Drosophila melanogaster: one gene and its partners. The protein of the gene in region 1 interacts with the protein of each later gene in a pairwise test. Each region holds a gene or a part of one and is shown in the gene's direction. Other genes may lie near its edges.

Evidence for each region. The genes of interacting proteins can lie anywhere in the genome.
Region 2: the proteins of fd3F (region 1) and Pdp1 interact in a two-hybrid assay, tested with the Drosophila melanogaster proteins (one large-scale study listed by BioGRID).
Region 3: the proteins of fd3F (region 1) and yem interact in a two-hybrid assay, tested with the Drosophila melanogaster proteins (one large-scale study listed by BioGRID).

What each region holds. Positions count from the first base shown.
Region 1 is NC_004354.4:3,800,699-3,806,997, forward strand, and holds the start of fd3F (forkhead domain 3F), read left to right. Parts: upstream 1-1,617; 5' UTR 1,618-1,858; coding exon 1,859-3,051; intron 3,052-3,527; coding exon 3,528-3,623; intron 3,624-6,299. Other genes in the region: HIP (Hsc/Hsp70-interacting protein), read left to right, coding at 1-53.
Region 2 is NT_037436.4:7,830,074-7,835,621, reverse strand, and holds the start of Pdp1 (PAR-domain protein 1), read left to right. Parts: upstream 1-2,548; 5' UTR 2,549-3,068; intron 3,069-3,794; 5' UTR 3,795-4,043; coding exon 4,044-5,235; intron 5,236-5,548.
Region 3 is NT_033777.3:29,117,830-29,125,400, reverse strand, and holds yem (yemanuclein), read left to right. Parts: upstream 1-2,521; 5' UTR 2,522-3,199; coding exon 3,200-3,439; intron 3,440-3,494; coding exon 3,495-3,716; intron 3,717-3,784; coding exon 3,785-4,604; intron 4,605-4,664; coding exon 4,665-4,812; intron 4,813-4,878; coding exon 4,879-5,118; intron 5,119-5,180; coding exon 5,181-6,519; coding exon of another isoform or gene 6,520-6,816; 3' UTR 6,817-7,071; downstream 7,072-7,571. Other genes in the region: Atg14 (Autophagy-related 14), read right to left, coding at 7,288-7,442, 7,505-7,571. UniProt on the Drosophila melanogaster protein: May play a key role in egg organization. May be a transcriptional regulator having a role in chromatin remodeling in concert with Hira, a histone chaperone. Involved in chromosome segregation by affecting kinetochores function in the first meiotic division.

The sequences.
Region 1 (6,299 bases):
AGCCTAAGCCTAAAAAGGATTCCGCCGACTTCGTCGATGACGGTTTGGACTAAGGTTTAGAAATGGGGCAGTAGTAAGACTGAAACATGCGTCGATAAAAAGAAGTTAACAAACAATTACACGAAATCGAGCGAGATTACAAAACAACAAAGAAAGAGAAAGCAACAGAGTGCGGGGAAGAAGATGGACTACACGAAAAACAAAAGGGAAAGCAACTGCCTTACACATTTTTGCAGCTGGGAAAAAACAAACATTTCCTAAGCTTTAACTTAACCAACACGTAAAAGAACGGGCGACAATGGAGAAAATTCAAATATTCAAAATACTACAAGCAGTCAGAAGAATAAGCAACATTTATTTAAATCGAGAAGAAAGAGATGTTGGAGATGCTGGAGACGCTTCTTCACATATTATTGAAAAGCATACTTGCGGCCATTAAAGTGGCAAATGAAACTATACAAAGGAGCTAGAATATGCTTAAAAACTTCACATTTGCAGTTCACAGGTAAATCAAAAGATTGTCCTGTAACGAACAAAACATGAATGTTTAGACGTCAAGTCAGATTCAAGGGTGCCGATCGATCTAGTTGAACTAAAGCTCGAGAAACAACCAAAAGAAAATAAAAAATATATATATGTTCAATAATATTAGCCTAAATTACCGAGAACGAAGAAACGGATAAAACTAATCGCATCATTTGGTCAAACAAAATTGTACTGAGTAGGATTTAAATCATATTGTATGCAAATGCATTTAGCCCCCCAACATGAAAGCAATCGCCCATTCATTCACACACTCATTCACACACTCATTCACACACTCATTCAACCAGTGATCAATGGAAATAAATAAACGAATCAACAAGAACCCGAATTGCTAATGTCCATATTTTTTGGTAAACGGGTAAAAGGGGAGATACTTTTGCTTTTTTTTCGAGCGGGTTGAACAGATGGAGCCGTAGTCCCTTAAACTATCCGGCGCATCACCTGTGTGGGTTGCTCACTTTGTATGAAGTACATTGGGTACGCATGGTGTATGAAAGCGTCGATTAGACGCTTCAATGGCTGCACCCTGCACCCTGGATCCAGAACCTATCTACCGCACCCCGCCCCATGTCAGCGCGAAATTGGCTAACGGACAGCTTGGCGCACATGTTCGATTATGGCCAAATCGAGCGACCAAGCAGAACCAGCGGCACATGACCTGGGCTCAGCGATGCCAAGACCTGGGTGGTTGTACCTAGAGGTACTTGATTGCTTTTTAAACTCAGCTTGGTACAGCGTACACGACTGATTATTTAGAAGCTATGACAGCTTTCTTTGCTTTGATATTTTTCATATTTATATATAAATTATAAATATATATTTATAAGCAGGTGATATGGTTGAAACATATATCAACGAATATGTCAAATATAATACAGTGAAGTGTCTGCATTATTTTATTGTACCTGCGCCATCACAGGTACGGCTCCTCTTTCCATCGACTGCAGACGTACCGCTTATGTGCATGACTGGGTGTCCGGGGTGGTGGATGTGAATGTGGATGAGTGGCAGGAGGGCGCAGGCGCAGCTCAGCCCAACAGCCAAGTTGGTCTGGACTCCTGGCGGCCCATCGCATTCCGTGGCCAGTCGCAGCGCGAGACGGTTAGCCAGTTAGCCAGTGCGGACCGACTAATTCCCAATTTCCGCTCTTGACTAAACTAAAGATTGAGAAATAAAGAAAGAAATATCCTTCGTCCGTCCCCCAGACGAAGCAGGTCAATTTTTTTTTCGTGTTACTTGCTCTTTTTCGCCAAGTGTGAGTTGTGTGTTTTGGCTTGGCTAACGTGATTGAAATCGAGACAGCCGGGACATCATGATTGTCAACATGCCCGTCAATGGAACGGGCAGTGCATCCAGCCCAACATCGAATCCCAGCAGCAACAACAACAACAATAGCAGTACCACCAATCAAAATGATACGAACACTAATCTTCCCGGTGATTACAACTTTCTTAAGCGCAAGTTCGACGATCAGGAGGATTTGGCTTTGGGCCACGACTACGAGCCCATCGGGGCAAATCCCTGGAAGAAGCGACACTTGGACTACGATGCCGGGGACCTGCACTTCCACCTGCAGCTGGAACAGCCACCTAGTAATCCGCCAACCAACGCTGCACCCGCCCAATCCTCGACGTCCTTCATCAACGATCTCTTTTCCTATGAGAGCAGTCTTCTGGTGCCCGCCGTCGCCTATTCGCACTGTCCACCATCGAGTGCTCCATTGGATGACAATGGTGGTTGGACCGGTGGCGAGCTGCTGGAGCTGGATCATCGTTATAACTCCGGCCTGCAGGCGGAACTGGGGCAATTGAATGCCACTTTGCCGCCGCCACCACCAACATCATCATCAGCTCAAAATGCATCCAATCATACGCAGCAGTCAACACAACAGAATGTCAGTCCTGGTCAGAACCCACATCAGAATCAACATTTTCTGGTGCCGCAGAAGCAGCGGATACAGTCGGCGGGCCGACGCACCTCATCCGGTTCGGTTAGTGGGGCCAATGAAGCCACCGAGGCGGACTTCGAGGATAAGAACCTCTCGTGGCTGCTCAACTTTAAGTTCGACGAGTTCCCGCACCTATCGCCGCACAATCAGATTCACGGACAGGCGGTCAATCTGCCGGAGGGCAGTGCTCCACCTCATCCACCATCGACGGCAGTGCCGATCGCCACGTCGCCCTGCAGTTCCTCCTCGCCATCATCCGCCTCCGCCGCATCGGCATCCGCATCCGCCATAAGCACAAATCAATCTCTCGGATCGGGTTTGGTGGATCAACGGGCCAGATCGCCCAAGAGTTGCTCCAGTGCAGCGATGCCAGCGGCATTAGGAGGAGGAGGCAACGGCTCCGCTGGCGCTTCAGCAGCGGGGGGCGTGGCCGGCGTGGGCTCCACCAAGACTGGGCGCAAGTTCGAGGAGCTGGTGATGGAGGTCACCTCGGAGTTGGACGGTAACGACATGATAGTTGCCGAGCACGTTGTCGTCGAGGATACTTCGTCCAAGGCGTAAGTGTTGCAGAAATAAAACAATATGACAGTGTCAACGGTTAAATTCTATATTTCCTAATTTATTTGAAACATCTATTTATTCCCGTTACTCATAGAGGAAAAGGGTATACTAGATTCGTTGAAGTATATATAAAATTTGTTGATCAGGATCAATTTTTAAATTTTTTTCTCATTTTATTCCCCAATATCTATCGACATCCCAGAAAGATGATTAAATTTCGCGTTCGCATTCACACTAGCTGAGTAACGGGTATCTGATAGTCGGGTAACTCGACTATAGCATTCTCTCTTTTGTTTTAATATATTTAACAATCTTTTTCTCTGATTTGTGCGTTCTCCATTTGCTTTCAATGCCGTCCTCCAATCGATGCCGCCAACGAATTTCCCCAACCACGCAATCGCCGATCCACTAAACCACCGAACCACCCACCAATGTGGCTGAAATCCAAAACCAACCACCGCAAAACAAGCAGGCCAAAGAAACCACCGTTCACCTACACGGAGCTCATCGAATACGCCCTCGAGGATAAGGGTGAGCTGACTGTGTCGGGCATATACCAATGGATATCGTAAGTACTGTCCCCCATCGAACCACCCACTGAATCAACCACCACCGCCCACCGCCCACCGCCCATTCGGATGGACGCCATTTTGTGGAGTGCTAGCCATCCTGTTATTTTTTTTGATGGCAAAAAACGCCAGCCAGGATGCAATTAAACAAATCTCAAGCATTTCGTTTTGGCCATTCCCGTTGGCCATTTGATTTCCTCGTTCGCTGGGTATTTCTTCTTACCATGTTTTCGTTCCTTGGTTGGTAACCAAACTTAAACAAAGTGCCACACACCGGCAAACAAACGATAGCGGCCACAATGAAAGTGCCAAAAGTTAGCAGCTCAAACAGATTTATGGGCTAGAAAATTGCATTTACCTTGCCTTCGCTCGCATAAGGTGAAAAACAAAAATGTTGTTAACCAAACTATTTGCGGGTTGTTCAACAAGTTGTTTATGCCAAACTGGTATTCCCTGGTATTATCAGCTTATACGGATAGCGACCCATTAATTTTGGCTTTTGGATTGTTTAGTGGCAATTGTTGAGTATACCAAATTCTTAGTTTTATGGTGATAAGTGCTTAATACGGCTCATTCCGTATTAGTTAATCATTCAATAGTATTCAAAACTAGTTAATCATTACCTACTTTTCGCAAAACGTTAAAATTTTCAAAATTCCATTTTTACCACGCTGAGTTCGAAAATATCAATTCGTCAAGAATCGCTGACGAAGAAAACAATAAGTTTTAACACATTTTTCAAGGTTCATCAATTTGGCCTTTCGCCCCCACTGCTCCCCACCTGTTTTTTGTTATTCATTTCTTTTGTTGTCTTCGAATACCCGGAATCAGTGTAAATATTTGATGCCGCAGCCGCGAATGTTGCGTGTAAATATCCTATATAAATTTACATATAAAACCACCCCGCTCGGGAGGGGGAGGCAAATAATTTATGACATTTGCCCATCACCTGCGCACCTGCACTCCTCACCACCCCCCCGCATTTAATGTAATGAATCGACAGTCCAAGAAGTTTCGGCTCAGTTCGAATGGGCGTGCAGTTTGGGTAACTTTTCATTAACCATTCACAAATTTACCTTGCGGCCCCCAGTTGGCTGGTGGGTTGGCAAACAGGGGGTTTTCGGCTTTGGGCTTTAGGGCTTTTTTTTCGATTTTGGTTTTGGTTTTGGGTTTTCGCAGGGTGGAGCAGGATGGGTTATTTCTCCTGTTTCATCGGCGTTCGAGTTCCAGGGCCGTGTCCTCGCGCAGTCAAGGCGAAAATGGCGCCTGCGCAGGACCTTTCAGCCATCAAAACCCACGTTTTCCAATGGCAATTTACGGAACTTTGCTTGCCCACGCGACCCGAATACCCTCCTTCCAATCCTTAATCGTTTCGCCCTGGCAATTGCCCATGAAATTTCCACTGCTCACAATAATTATTAATTGCGGGGGTTGGAGGTGCAAGTCGGGGTCCTTCCGGCTTTTCTACACCTTTTACATGCATCATTGCATCCCGGGGATCAGGTGTTTGACGTACCCATGCCCATGCCCATGCCCATTCCCATTCCCATTCCCATTACCATTACCATTACCATTCCCGTGCCTATGTTCATGCCCATGGCCAAATGCTAGAGAGCAATTACCTGGTCCGGGGTTCGGGTTAAGGGGTTAAGTGGGTTAAGCGGGGGTTGGTAACGCCGCCGCCCCTTCTTCCGGTCAATTTCAAATGCATATTGAGTGTTTATGGGATGCGGATCATGCTTGATCGGTCAGGACATGTGGCAGGATCCCTCACTCCCTTCGACAACCGCAACTAGGATACCTATCAGAATTTATGGGTTACCCTTGCCAAGGCTGCCGGTCTGACATGTAAAATGTATTTCGTAACTTGAATTTACAATACTTCACCTAACACTCTTCAGCTTAAGATACATATGATTCATCCTAAGAGTAAAAAAGGTCAAGGCTAGCTACGATTTCGTCCTTAACGAGTTTCGTTGTCAGTCAAGTCAAGATATGAGACCGAGAAGGTTCTCTTGCCACATGTTTCTTGGCTAACCCAACTGCCACCCAAGATCGAGTCCGATGTTCTTGGGATAACTTTGGCGTTCGATTTACCAGCTTTTTCTGGGATTGGGCGTGGCTGGCCACAGTTACGCCCACCGAGAGCAAAAGGAGAAAAAAAAAACCAACGAAAAAATTGGCAATTGCCATTAAAAAGTTTTTCATTTTGCACAGCCCCAAAATGAGGCAACTTCTACTTTCGACTCTCCTCCGGGCCATAAATCCAGGCAATTTCTTTTATTGGCCGGGCAGAGCCAACGAGCCGCAACAATTTATGAACTGACTAGCGCAGTGCAATAAATATAGTGTGGGCCCCACAACCATTCAGATATATACTATACTATAAATTCCTATATATATATATATATATATATATATATATTTATATATGTGCATATAAATACGGATCCGGGGCCAGAAGTAGTTGCCCAGTCTGGTAGCCTGGTCCTTGCTGCCATGTAAAAAAAAAAAAAAAAAAAAAATGAAGCGCCTGAGTGTGTTTGAGGTGGCTTGCGTGCCTGGCACTTCCAGACACGGCCCGGCTCGGGCCGGCCCATTTGGGCCTTTGGGCCTTCCAGGTCTTTAAGCCTCTCGTCTCTTCTGGCCTCCAGAGCCTCCAGAGCCCCTAGAGC
Region 2 (5,548 bases), on another chromosome or scaffold:
TGCACATCTATGCAGTCTGTGTTTTGCTTCTCCTACTTGTATTTTTTGTTCTTCGGATGCAAAATAAAGCCATGCTAGTGTGTGTGTGACTCATTGATTCGATGTGTGAATGTGTGTGCGATGCTTTAAATTGCTATTTATAAACCAGCAAGAGCTGTGTCTTCGACTCAGTTGGGTTTTGCTTAGCAATTTCTGGCGCTCTCTGAGGGCTCATTCATCCATCGTAGCGCCACGGCGTATCTATGTGAGTGCGCTGCACTGGTGTGTGTCGGTGTGTGTTTTTGATTGTACCAAGTGTGTGTGAGGCAGTAGCCCAATCACACAGATACACACACTGGCAAGGGGAGACCGCCGGTGCACGTGGTAGCGAAACGTGATAATACGAAATACAACAACTGACAACAAAACAAACAGAAAACCTGACAACGCCGCTGTCGCTGCCTCTGCTGTCGTCGCGGTCGACGTCGTTCTCTGTCCATGTCGACGTTGGCAGATTTTCCCGGATTGGTTCCCTATTCTCGGCTTCACTGGCATATAAGCCTGGCCAATAGCAAAGCTCTGCCGCACATCCTTCTGTTATTGGATCCCGAAGCAAACTTCGTTTTTTCCTTCGCTTCGGAGCTTCGGATGACTTGTTGCTTTCCAAAAATAGTCACTGGCTGCACGGGGCGTATACTCGATATTCCCAGAATTGACCCGCCTGGGTAAAACAGGTGACTGAAGTTCGCTCTACCACATGGTCCATGGTTATGCCAATTGATGGGTTTTCAGGGCTGACTGGGTTTCTCAAATGCAAAAAAAAAAGAGTTTTGTTTAACCGAAGAATAGCACAAGGCTGAAAAAAGGTGGGCGACTTAACAAGTTTAACAAGTAGAAAAATGGCGAGGATATTCTTGGAATTCTTTTGAATTGGTTTAACGAAAGATGGAACCTTACAAATTGAATAAGTCTTATATATTTTATTTATTTTATATATTTCTTTATTTATATATTTCTTAAATAATCCATGTAATTGTAATTCAGTTTATTTGCATTTTTATCAGAAATGTGTTTTTATATTTTATCTCAAATTGCTTACTGCTCTGATTCATAGTTATAAAATCTTCGATGATCATTGGGTAAGTATTGAGTGTATTATACAAAACTTCTAAGAAAATTTACCGGACCTATGCCAACAGAGAGCAATTATTATAATTATTTAAACTTGATTAAGCCCTCGAATAGTTTGAATACTTTTTGAAATTTCCAAGAAAAACGGCGACCTACGGCAATAGTTTAGCGCCTTCGATAGAATGCAGATTAAGTATACGCTCCGTTGCAGCTACTACGTCGTTTCATTGGGTTTTCGCCCAGAGTGTTAAGCACTCAGCTTCAGACCCCCCCCCCCCACCACTCTGCCCCATCGGATCTACTTACTGGGAATGACGCAGCGGTAATTAGTTGGTGGCACAGAGGCAATCCTTTGGAGCACATTACGCATACGTCACGTGTTGCAGACGCACCAGTGCCGAATTAACCGAATATTGGCACGGCAATTGGCCAATCGGCCACGCACTCCAGCTGATGTGTAAAGTCTAGTGGCCATAGGTACACCCGTTACAGGGGGACAGACATAGCGCTCTATTGCGAATCGACTGGAAACTTTTGAGTTGCATTCGTATCTCTATTTGTCACCCTATCGGTACGTGTATCTTTGAGTGCGCTTGTCGTTCAACGTGCACTCTCATTCTCTCTGTCGCTCTCTCTCAATTAATTTGCGTATGTGTGTGTGCCCGGTGTGTCCGCAACACGTGCTTAGAACTGTGCTAGACAGTGGGCTTTGGGTCATATTGAAATCCGCGTGACTTGGCCGCAGCAGCGCTCAGCGCCTCAGCGGGCGTCGCAGTTCCAGTCCCCCAAGTATATACAAATAACTACAGCTATGTCCAAGATAATAGCAATCATTTAAGAGCAAGAAAAAAATGTTTTAAAATAATAAATTTTGTTACTAGAATATTATAAGTAATGTTGAAATAACTGAGATAAAACAAAGTTGCTTTAAAAAAAAATATTATTAAGTTCTTGATAGATAATTAGATATAAGAAGATAACATAGGTTTAGTCCTAAGTGAATTATAATTTATAATAGATTTGATACTAAATCTGAGTCGAAGTACTCGTATATGAACACTGTTTAATATATACCAAGAACTGTACTAAAAATACCTATGGCACTTGAATTGATTAATATAGTAGTAATGCTAATCATTTTCCCAGTGCTGTATGTAAAAATATTTGTTGTACATGTACAAATATTTTGCGCTACCAACATTTGATAAAAAAAAGCCAGTTAAACAATTATCAAAGTAGGAGAGGGGTTACTGTTTTCGGACCTCCGCCCTTTACGTAAGCCGACTTACTTGCAGAAAATTGCAATTTTTAGCTGGCTGAGAGAGCGGTAGCGGCGACTGCGACGTCGACTGCAGCGACGACTGCAGCGGCGGCAGAGGAAAAGCAGAGACGGACATTGAGACCGAGAAAATTACTCGGCCGGCATTCTGTCGCATCGCGTTCTCATGTGAAAATCGTCGCAGCTCGTTCCGTGTTTTCGCCACTCGAGCGGGAAAATCAAAAAATATTTCTACGCTCAACAAAATAAATTAATTGAAATTGATTTTTCAAGCAACAGAAATAGTTCTAGAAGAACTATAAATCGAGGAAGTCATTTTTGTTTTATCAAATTTCAAGTGCAATGGGTTCATTGTGAAATCAATCTAAAGTGTGTGTGTGTGTGTCATTCGAATAATTACTATTATTAAAAAAGAAATAAATACGCAGAAAGAGAGAGAGAGATCGAACGAGGCAGAGTGAAAGAGAGAGATAGAGAAAAAAGCGAGAGATCCGGAGATCTCTCGAGAATCTTTAAACAACAGCGCTAAAGTTACGGATCTAATTTCAAACAGTTTAATTTACTTTTAATTTTTCTACAAAACAACAAACTTCAAAAAGAAAAATACGAACCAGCAAAACTCAAAGCAAAAAACGATCTCATATCCAAGCGCAGCAACAAATTCTGAGAATAAGAAAAGGTATTCAACAAAAGGCTGAAAGGAAGAAGAGTTATTCATCAATGAAAAGGATAATTCAATTGATTTGGAAAATAATAATTTATTTGTTTTGATTTATATATAGAAAATATTCCAAATTTACGTTGAAATAATGTTAAAAAAAAAAAAACATTGGAAGCCTTTGACTCGGTTGATTTGATATACAGTTTAATTGGCAAATAATTATTAGTTTGTCTCGTTTTAAAAGTGAAGCAAAAACAATAAATGACCGTGAATGTTTTGATTGCAAAAATTCCATAAAGAACACGGAAAGCCTTTGTACCTATTGATTCCACTTTAAGATTTCTATAGCGTCACAAAAATCTTATTATACAAAATTGATTGAACTAAAAGAAAGCGCAAACTATACAACTATACAATGCCTTTTCTTATTCCTTATCATCATGATCATCAATAAAAACTAATGGAAAACTAAATAAAAATCATACAAAAATAGACGAAAACAAAGTGCATTCCCTGACCACACGAAAACAAGCGCATTCATTATCAGTTGCTATCAAAATCGCTTCCCCATCATACTCAATACTCACTAATAAAACTGAAAAACTGAATCATTCCCAACATTTTTCACCCACCTATCACCTGTTCATTAGCAACAACGAATTGGCTATCAATTGACTGGCAAATAAAAAACCAGCAACATACCAAAGTGCTCAAACACTAATCTGGGTTTTTCAAAAACAAAAGCACAATATTTTTTTCAGATAACACAGACAAGCGTTTATGTTAAAAACAAAAAAACTAAAGTGAACCCAAGTGTAAAGACAATGCGCACAACTTTTGGCCGTGGCCCAAAGTTTATACTGCTGACCAGCAAATTTAATCACGTTCAGCACAAGGAGGTGATCACCTAGGATCATCAGAAAACAGTGATTAACCGTAACCAGTGAAGGATAACCCAGTGAATAACGTACCCAGTTGTTGAAACCAGTGATCATGTCGTCGGATACGAATTCGTGTACTAGTTTCTTTGCCCAGGAGCACGCGAATGCCACATTGTCGCAGTATTTCCAGCAGCTTAACTCGCACGTTGCTGCTGCAGCGGCGGGCAATAGCGGTGGCAACAGCAGCAGCAGCAACAACAACAACAGCAGCGGCAACAACAGCAGCAGCGGCAACAGCGACAGCGGAAATGATGGCAGCATGACAGGATCATCGGGAACCATGGACAACCATCGCAGCAGTGTTAGCAGCAATGATTCGGGCAAGAGTAGCGCCACAGGAGGCGGCGGGGCAGGTGCCACCAGCAACAATGGCGTGAATGCCTGGGCCTTGCAGCAGCAGCAACAAACCGCCGCCCTGCACCATCAGCAACAGCAGCAGCATCAACAGCAGCAGCAACACCAACAGCACCTACAGCAACACCATCAAGCGCACCATCAGCATGTCCTGCAGCAGCAGCAGCAGCAGCAACAGCAGCACTCCCAGCATCAGCATCAGCAGCAACATCACGGCCACCCGTTGCATCCGCATCATACACACCAGCAGCAACAACAACAACAACAGCAGCAGCAGCCGCCGCCGCAACACCACCAGCAGCAGCAACAGCAGCACGCACAGCAGCAGCAGCAGCAGCATCATGCCGCCCAGCTGGCACATACACTGTCATCGGCCGCCGTTGCTGCTGCAGCCGGGAATACCGGTGGCAACACCAACCCCCACTCCATTTTCGGCACCGGCAACTTCCACTACAAGACGAACAACTCGTGGACGCTGCCCACGCTAACGTACCAGAGGATTTACCAGGAGAATCCCCATTACCAGCGCAACTCCTTCATGGATCCGCAGAGTAATGCCGCTGCAGCTGCAGCAGCTGCTGCTGCCAGTTGCAATGCTGCCGCTGTTGCGGCAGCCGCTGCAGTTGCAAGTGGCAACCAGGGATCGAATGGGAATGCCAGTGGCAATGGTAATGCTGTTGTGGCGGCAACTGGTAATGGAAATGGTGGAAATCCCGGCCAGAATAACAACAACAATAACGGCAACAATAGTGGCAATAGCAACAATAACAGCAACAACAATGTGTCCTCCGTGCAACATGTGGCAAATGCCGTCGCAGCGGCAGTGATCGCCAATGAGCATCACAACCATTTGAACAGCTTGAAAGCGCGATTTCAGCCAGCCAGCTCAGGTGAGGTGAAAAACTTGAGGAAAAAAGGGGGGGAAATTGTTGGAAAATATATATTGGATATATAGTAATGACCTTAAATGGTTTGTTAACTATAGAAAAATGGAAAAGTGCTACTTAACAGCTGTACTGTGCATTCGTATATATATATAAACTTATGTATATATCTTTCTACCGCTTAGATACTTCAACTTTTCTTGGTTGTCTTAAACATTAGTTGTATACAGTACTCTGAATAACTAAATTGTTTTGAGAACACAAAAAGCACACTTAAAGGGAGAAAAACCAAAAACAACTGATAAAGTGTATGACTAGT
Region 3 (7,571 bases), on another chromosome or scaffold:
AAGAGTCCAAGAAGAACCGAGTGTTTTATGTATGTATATACATAGAGCCACTATCGATGGGTCGTCGTCTCTAGGTAATGAGATTGTCAGGCGTATATCATGTAATTTATTTCCGTGCATGCGTCATTGTTTTAAAAATGGAAAACCGAATCTGTAGTGGGTGGTCGTGTTGGCGGTGAAGCCAACCACCAGCGGCTCTTTTTGTTCTAGTTTATTTGTTAGTTTGGTTGGGGAAAGTACGATGAGTAAATGAAATTGTCGGCGACAAAGTGCGGTTTGATTATATCAACGACAGGCGGCCAACGATCCCTTTTGGATTGAACCACAATTAAATAATATTTCTTCCTATGTTTATGAATAAGACTGTTTAACCTTTTAATGATCAATGAACCTAGCTCTGTAACAAAGTTTTCTACTGGATAAATGAACTTTAAGAATGGCTTTGGATGGGCTGGTGAATTATCCATAATTATTGCTAATACATTCTCCTACAGCAGACTCATTTAATTAATCATGAAAGCAAATAGAGAGCAGAAATAAATAAAGTATCGCTCATTCGGTTTAAGAGCTCCCCTGATAACGATAGCGATCGCAACTGTACGAACCTCTTGGGGATGCGAAAATCTGCGAAGAGGTAGCAGTAAAGCAGCTCGAGCATGTCGCAAATCGGCAATAATGACGCATTAAAAAGCAAATTAAATTTGTGCGCTCACTTGTTGCTGTTGTTTGATTGTTTATGTGTATCGCTTTATTTTTGTGTGCGGCTTCTGTCCATTTGAGATGAAAAACTGGCTGCCGCCTTTAATAGATGAATTACCAAAAAAACACACAAGTTTTCATAGAAAATGGGAAACCAATTTGGGTTGGCAAGGCATTTGGGGCCACATGTTTCAAGGTCGATTGCCGTAACTCCATTTTGGTGTAGGAATTTCAATGTCTGGGAGTAGAGTTTATCATTCAAGCAGTGCTACGGGCAACACTCTCAGTAGCTAACCTTTTTTTCTTGCAAAGAAACTTGTAGACATGATAAGAAAACGGGTGTTCGTTTTGATATCTAACCCATTTGCATAATTTGTAGTGTAGAAAACTGGTTTAAACCTAAGTTGTCCTTGCATCGAGTGTTTACTGTGTTCACCTTGGACTACGTCACTTGAGATAAAAGAAAGCAGTCGCAGTTCTGATCTTATCTTATAATGGTAGTCTCTTGTTTCCCATATGAACGATTTCCCCTTGTTGTTTTTTGGAACTACAAATGTACAAGGCCCCGTAATTTCGTAATGAAGCAGTATTACTCACCTTTGCTTCGGAGCCGAACGATTCTTCCAGAGATGTAACAAAGGAGCTCCACTCTTCTCGTCGCTTTTCCTTTCTTTCTTAAAGTTCCTTTATTGTCTCATGACACTTTTTTACGAGCGGCTGGGGGCTTTTTGTTTAGCTGGTTTCCTGGGACGGAGTCACTACTCCGGCGAAAGTCACCGGACCACTGAAAGCGGGAAGCCTTTGTCGGAGCTCCGTATCCCGTACGTTGCTCTTTGGACGTCGGTCACTTGCATTCGTTGGATAAATATGTACATACATACATAAAAGAGCTCGAGTGGGGCTGCAAGCATAAAGGCAGCATAAGTGTTTATGTGCTAGTGTTTGTGTGGTGCCACTTGGGGATTGGGGGTGGGGGAGTTGGGGATTGGGTTGGATTGGATTGTGAAAAGAGCAGCACGGCACACTTTTGTTAATTGCACAATCCTAATCGTTTTCACCCGATAACGAGCACTGGCCATTCCCGTTATAATAACACCTTGCAGTTTCGACCGAATTCGAATTTCTGTGCATGCAACTCTTTTCGTTTCGCTTGTTTTTGTTGTGGAGCGGGCGCATGAAATTAAGCCCCCAAGCTCACGTACTGCGACTCACTTGCACTTGCGCTAATTAAACGGCGAGCACTTGACTTTCTACGAAGTAAACTCCTTCACAATCGAAATAATACTGAATCGCCCCAAGAAAATCTGCCCACCACCCGCGGCCCCATACTCTGAACAGCTGTGCCGAACAGTGCTGCACAACGGCCCGTTCTGGTCAAAACAAAGCAGAAATGTGTGTGGAATGTGGCACTGCACAGGGATGCACAAAAGCTAGTGCGAGTGTTGGCCGCTTTCAAGCCAGATCTCGTTACTTGTTGGAAAGTTTTAGAGCCGCGTAAGTTATAAAAAAGTTTACATTATATTTTGATTTTGGGTCCTTTTTAAACAATTAAGCTTACAACAGCATAAGCCACCTATATATTTTACGTAACCTATCAACTTGGTAGCTCGAAACTTTACTTTAAAAATGAGCTAGATGCCAAGCTAATGAATTTCTAACTAACGGAATTTTGGAAATACATAGCACCCATAACAACTAAATATTGCCAAATGCAGCCAGCCGCAGCAAGTCTCGGCTTGTGCTGCGCGCAGTGTGAACGGCTCGGAGTAATTTGCGAAAACCGCGACCAGTGCTGCGCAACGCGAGTGCGAAAGCCAAAAGCAGGGTCGGATCTTTGGTGCGGGGTGGAGCGGAGAGAATGTAGCGTTGAGGATTTTAACAAGAAACAATTTAAGAATCGCGCTCCTGGCCGTGCGAAAAGCGCCTGGTCGAATCGTTTAAATGTCCCCTTTGGTAGCGTCGATTGCGTGTGTTTAATCCCCGGTGCGCTGCTTTTACAGACTGTGTTGTTTTCGTGCCGGCAAGCCAACCAATTTGAAACCCCCCAAAAAGTTTCCACTTTTTCATTCCCCCAGAAAAGTGACAATTATTCGTGGCCGTGGTCGGCGGATGCAGCTGCAAAGCGGGCGGCGATTAAAGTAGTGCAATCCGGCGCAGGTCCTCGCCATTTGTTTATGTTGATAAAGCAGTGTTTGTGGGGCGACAACAAGAAAGTGCAGCTCAGAGTGAAATTGCCACGGTTATTAAGTGGTTGTGGTTGCTTGGTGTACGTGCAGAAAACCTAAAACAGACATCCCCAGAAGAAGAGGAAGCAGCGGAAAAGGAGGAGGAGGAGCATCAGCAGCAGCGACGTCTCTGTTGTTTTTGTTTGGCTGCGAGAGAGAGAGAGGGAAAGAGCAACGAAGAACACGCGGCTCTTTCGAAAAAAAAGGGCGGGAAGGCCCTTTCGGCTCAAAGGAAACCCTATCCCACTGAATATCCGTAACTCTGCCCGCCGGAAATGTCAAAGGGGGGCGAGCACAAGCGCGTCACCCTCACCTCGATCATCCAGGGCGATGCGGGCTTCTCGCGCTTCGGCAGCAACATCCTGGAGCCTGATGCTGCGTCCGCTGCACCCGACAACAGCTCCAAACCCACGACAAAGACTGCCAAGTGCATCCGCATCAAACTCGATCTGTTCGAGACCGATTCGAACAAGTATCCCGAGTTTAACTACTCCCGGCTTTTGTATTTGGAAAAGGTAAGAGTGTATAACTCAGTTGGAGGATCGCTTTCTAAACCCTTGCAATCCGTAGAAAAAGACCAAAAAGCTGAAGCAGGTGAGCACTACCAATGGCTCCGCAAGCACTGATCCCTTTGCCGACAACGATGACGATGTGGCACGGATCGTCAAGGAGCTGGAGGCCAAGTATGGCAACTCCTATGCCACAGGCAGGGGGAAGAGCAAAAAGGACGACTACCGGGACATTGGAATGGGCTACGATGAGTCGGACTCATTCATCGACAACACGGAAGCCGTAAGAACAAGAAATATTTCCGACGAATGCACTGAAATTATTTACCTTAAACTCTATGTTCTGTCCAGTACGACGAAATCATACCGGAGGAGGCGGAAACTCTGGAGGGCGGCTTCTACATCAACTGTGGCGCACTGGAGTTCAAGAACCTCACCAAGAAGTCCTACACCACTCGAACAGATGCCATCATCAAAATGCCAGAGCGATCACGCAAGCGCATGGTCTCGTCCAGCTCGGAAAGCTCATCGTCATCCTCGGGCGATGATGACGAAAACGATGATGGCAACAATGAGGAGGACGACGAGAGCGATTCCGAGGACGACTCCGAGGAGAACGATGAAAGCGACTCCGAAGACGACTCCGAGAGTGAAAGTCTTGAGGACGAGGACTCTGCTGCTACAGCCAAATCCAGCAGCAAGTACAAAGACAATCATCAAGCTAAGCGGGCCAAGGTCATCGTTACGGGCAAGTCCAAACCAAGCTCAAGTTCTTTGACGAGTGGCAAGAAGCCGCCGACTAAGCCGATCACCACTTCCTCATCCTCAAACTCGCCACGACCCAGCACGGTGGAGATTTCGGACACGGAAGACGGCCAAGACCCTATCCAGACTCAGCCATCAAGTCAGCTTCAGTCCCTGCCGCAGAGTCAGGCCCAGGCGCAAGCTTTAAAGAAGGTGGTTAAGACCACAACGGTCAAGGACATGCTAAAGGCCAAGCGAGACAGCTTCCTGAAGTCGCAGAGCGGCACGGCAGCTGTCAAGGGCGTCGGCAACGGCGAGCTGAAGTGTGTTTCCACCGACGTGTCCAGCAGCGATAGCAGCGATATGGAGTCTGAGCACGGCCGGGCAGATAGGCAGGCCGGTCAGCATGGCAAGGATGGGCAGGAAAGTGAGTTACATATACAGTATTAGTTGGTTGAAATCACCCTTTCACGTGTTCATTTTTAAGATCTTCGCACCGCCGACACTCTGCTCCCCACCACATTGGATGCGGACATTGTGACCGCAGTCAACAGCTTCAAAGAAGCGGTGAAGAGTCGAGACATGTGCGGCAAGAAGTTTAATCTGGATGTGAAGCTTTCGCCACTACTGCTTCGGTGAGTTTGCAGCCGATGTAAACATCAAGTACAGATTTAAGGCTTATATCCATTAACCTACACCAGGGTGTACGAGGCGGTGCTGTGCACGGACCGCAACGAGCGCAACATGGTCTTCTCCCACATCGAGTATCAGCTGCAACTGCCCAAGTACTACATGCTGCGCAAAGGGAAACAAGTGCGGGCGAAGGAGGAGAAGAGGAAGTCCACCATTATGCTGGAGAAGCTGCGGCGGGCTGTAGCTGTGGTCATGCCTAAGGCGGTGGCCAACTATGAGACGGAACTGCGCACATTTGCTGAACAGGCGTAAGATTGTTGTTAAGCGAAATAACGATTAGGTTCCTTTAGATTATGATTATTATTTTCAGAGCTGCGGACGTGAACTCCGAACTGCCGCCCAAAATGCCGCGTAAGAAGTTCCAGTGGACCAGCGAGCTACGCCATCTGCTGTACGATGTGTACCAAGCGCGTTGGACGTCCTACGCTTTCCTAGCCAAGCGCAAGGAATCGTTGGAGGAGTTCATCAATTGGTATCTCAAGGAAAAGGTGGTGGAACTGTGGCCGCCAGGCTGGATGCGTTTGGATGAGTTGCAAAGGGAAATAACACGCTACAAGAACGCCAAGCTGAAAGCAAAGGAGAAGCCAAAGGCACCGCCGGCGTCCGCATCGCCCAAGCCCGTTGGAGTTGTATCTGCTCCTGAGCAAATGCCGCCGGCAAGCAGCTACCTAAAGGCAGTGGAGGACCCTCGATCTCGAGGTAACTCCGATACGGACTCAGCTACAAGTGCCTCCTCCAACAGTCTGAAGCGAAAGCTGAAGGAGATGCCCAAGCAGACCAGCAAGCCGCCAAAGAAAAAGGTGGCTAAGCAGGTACCGCTGCAACCGCAACTTACTCCGCATCCGCAATTCCAGCTGGCGCCGGCTGCCACGGCGGCCGTCAGTATACCAGCCATTAGCAATAACAACAACCACCTGCCCCACCTGGACACGCTGCTCTCCATGCCGAGCACCTCGGCTCAGGCAGCAGCACTCAATGCCGCCGCCGTAGCAGCCGCCAGTACGGTTCTGGATCTGGCATCCCCTAGCCGGAAAATTGACCTTAACACCAGCAACAATTTCTACAATCTGATCACGGCCGCCTCCCTGGCAGCCAGCGGGAATCCCAGTCCGCATTCTGGAGACGGCCAAGCCAAGGTGATTGTGGGAGCTCGGCCCTCTCCCCATGTGATCAACCTGGATGACTATCAATGCACCAGCGATATACTTCAGACGTCCAAGCAGCTAGCTGCCACCACCACTGTCATCACCGCCATCTCAAAGGCCGCGCAAACGACGTCGGTAGCCAGGGAAAGCAGCAGCGAGTCGGATGGCGTTGAGATTGTGGGAGTTTTTCCTGCCTCTAAGCCCCAAAAGAAAGTCCAGTCTAAGCCCAAGAACAAGACTCAGAACAGAGGTCGGTCGTCTTTGGGTGCGGTGGGGCAGGTAAATGGATCCCTGGGCTACAGCGCGAATAACATGTATATCTACAATAGCCCAAGAACGCTGGGTCCAGTGTACGATCTCACCGATCCGCATATAATGAAAACTATGTCAAATCTGAAGGAAATGGAAAAGCAATTCATTCAAGCGGCTTTCTCGCCGAACAGCGTCAAGGGCGCAAGCGGAGGAATGGGATCCTCAGCGCCCAGTACGCCCACGCGCCAATGACATTCGGGATCGGCCGCACAGCAGCCCCTTCCGGCTGCTGTGACGGCCTTTTACAACCAGGAGGCGATGGCCGCCGCCATCGTGCTCTCCACGATGAGCCACGCCTCGCCGCGCTACGACCTGCTGGCCAACGGCTCCGTCTCCATGTCCGCCGCCCAGGTGGGAGCCTCTGCCAACACACTGCCACAAGTATTCGTTAAACCCAGCCTGCCGCAGCCCAGCGCTGGCGGCGATGTGGTGACCACGACTGGAGCTGCTCGCCCATCCACGCAACAACTGCCCACAAAGTTCATTTAGCTAGGGTCACTCAGCTCGTTCCCTTGCGATTCTAATCTAAGATTCTAGTGCTGATTCTAGGTAGGTTTCATTCGCAGCTGTGTCTGCCGATTTTCCAATTATTGCACCAGTTTAATTATTGTTTCTCATTGAGTCGTTTACCTACTAAGTCAGTGTACTATGCAAGCATTAATAAAGCAAATTTATATATATTTATTTATAGAGAACCATTTTTATTAAATAAAGGCGAATAAGTTATGTAATAGAAATAAATCCAAAAGGCGCATTTTCTTTACACACAGCGAATATATATGTATATATATAATTGATACAAAATTAGTTCTGTAAACCAAAGGATAACGCTAAAACCAGCAACTGCCGATAAACACCGACGTGCTGTCACAGAAACGATTACTTAGTCTAATTTGTAAAAGATAACACGCGTGTCTCATGATGATATAGCCGAAAGATCGGACGTCTGTTGGTCTGCGATCATTTGATCCAGCGCAGCACCGATGTGGCCGCCATTCGCACGAAGGCGATGGTAGACTGCTGGTTGGCCGCCGGCATCAGATTGGGATCCGCCAGCTCCGGCTGCGGTGTCAGGCTGGGCACCGCCTCCCAGTCCATGCGCAGAGAGTTTTCGTCTGGAAAGGCATCAGCATCAGTTTGAAAAGATTATTCCCCTCAAATTGCTAAACCAACTCACCCTCTGACTCCGATTCCGTGGCGGTCTCGATGCCGATTAGTAGGGAGTCCACTGACTTCATGAGTGG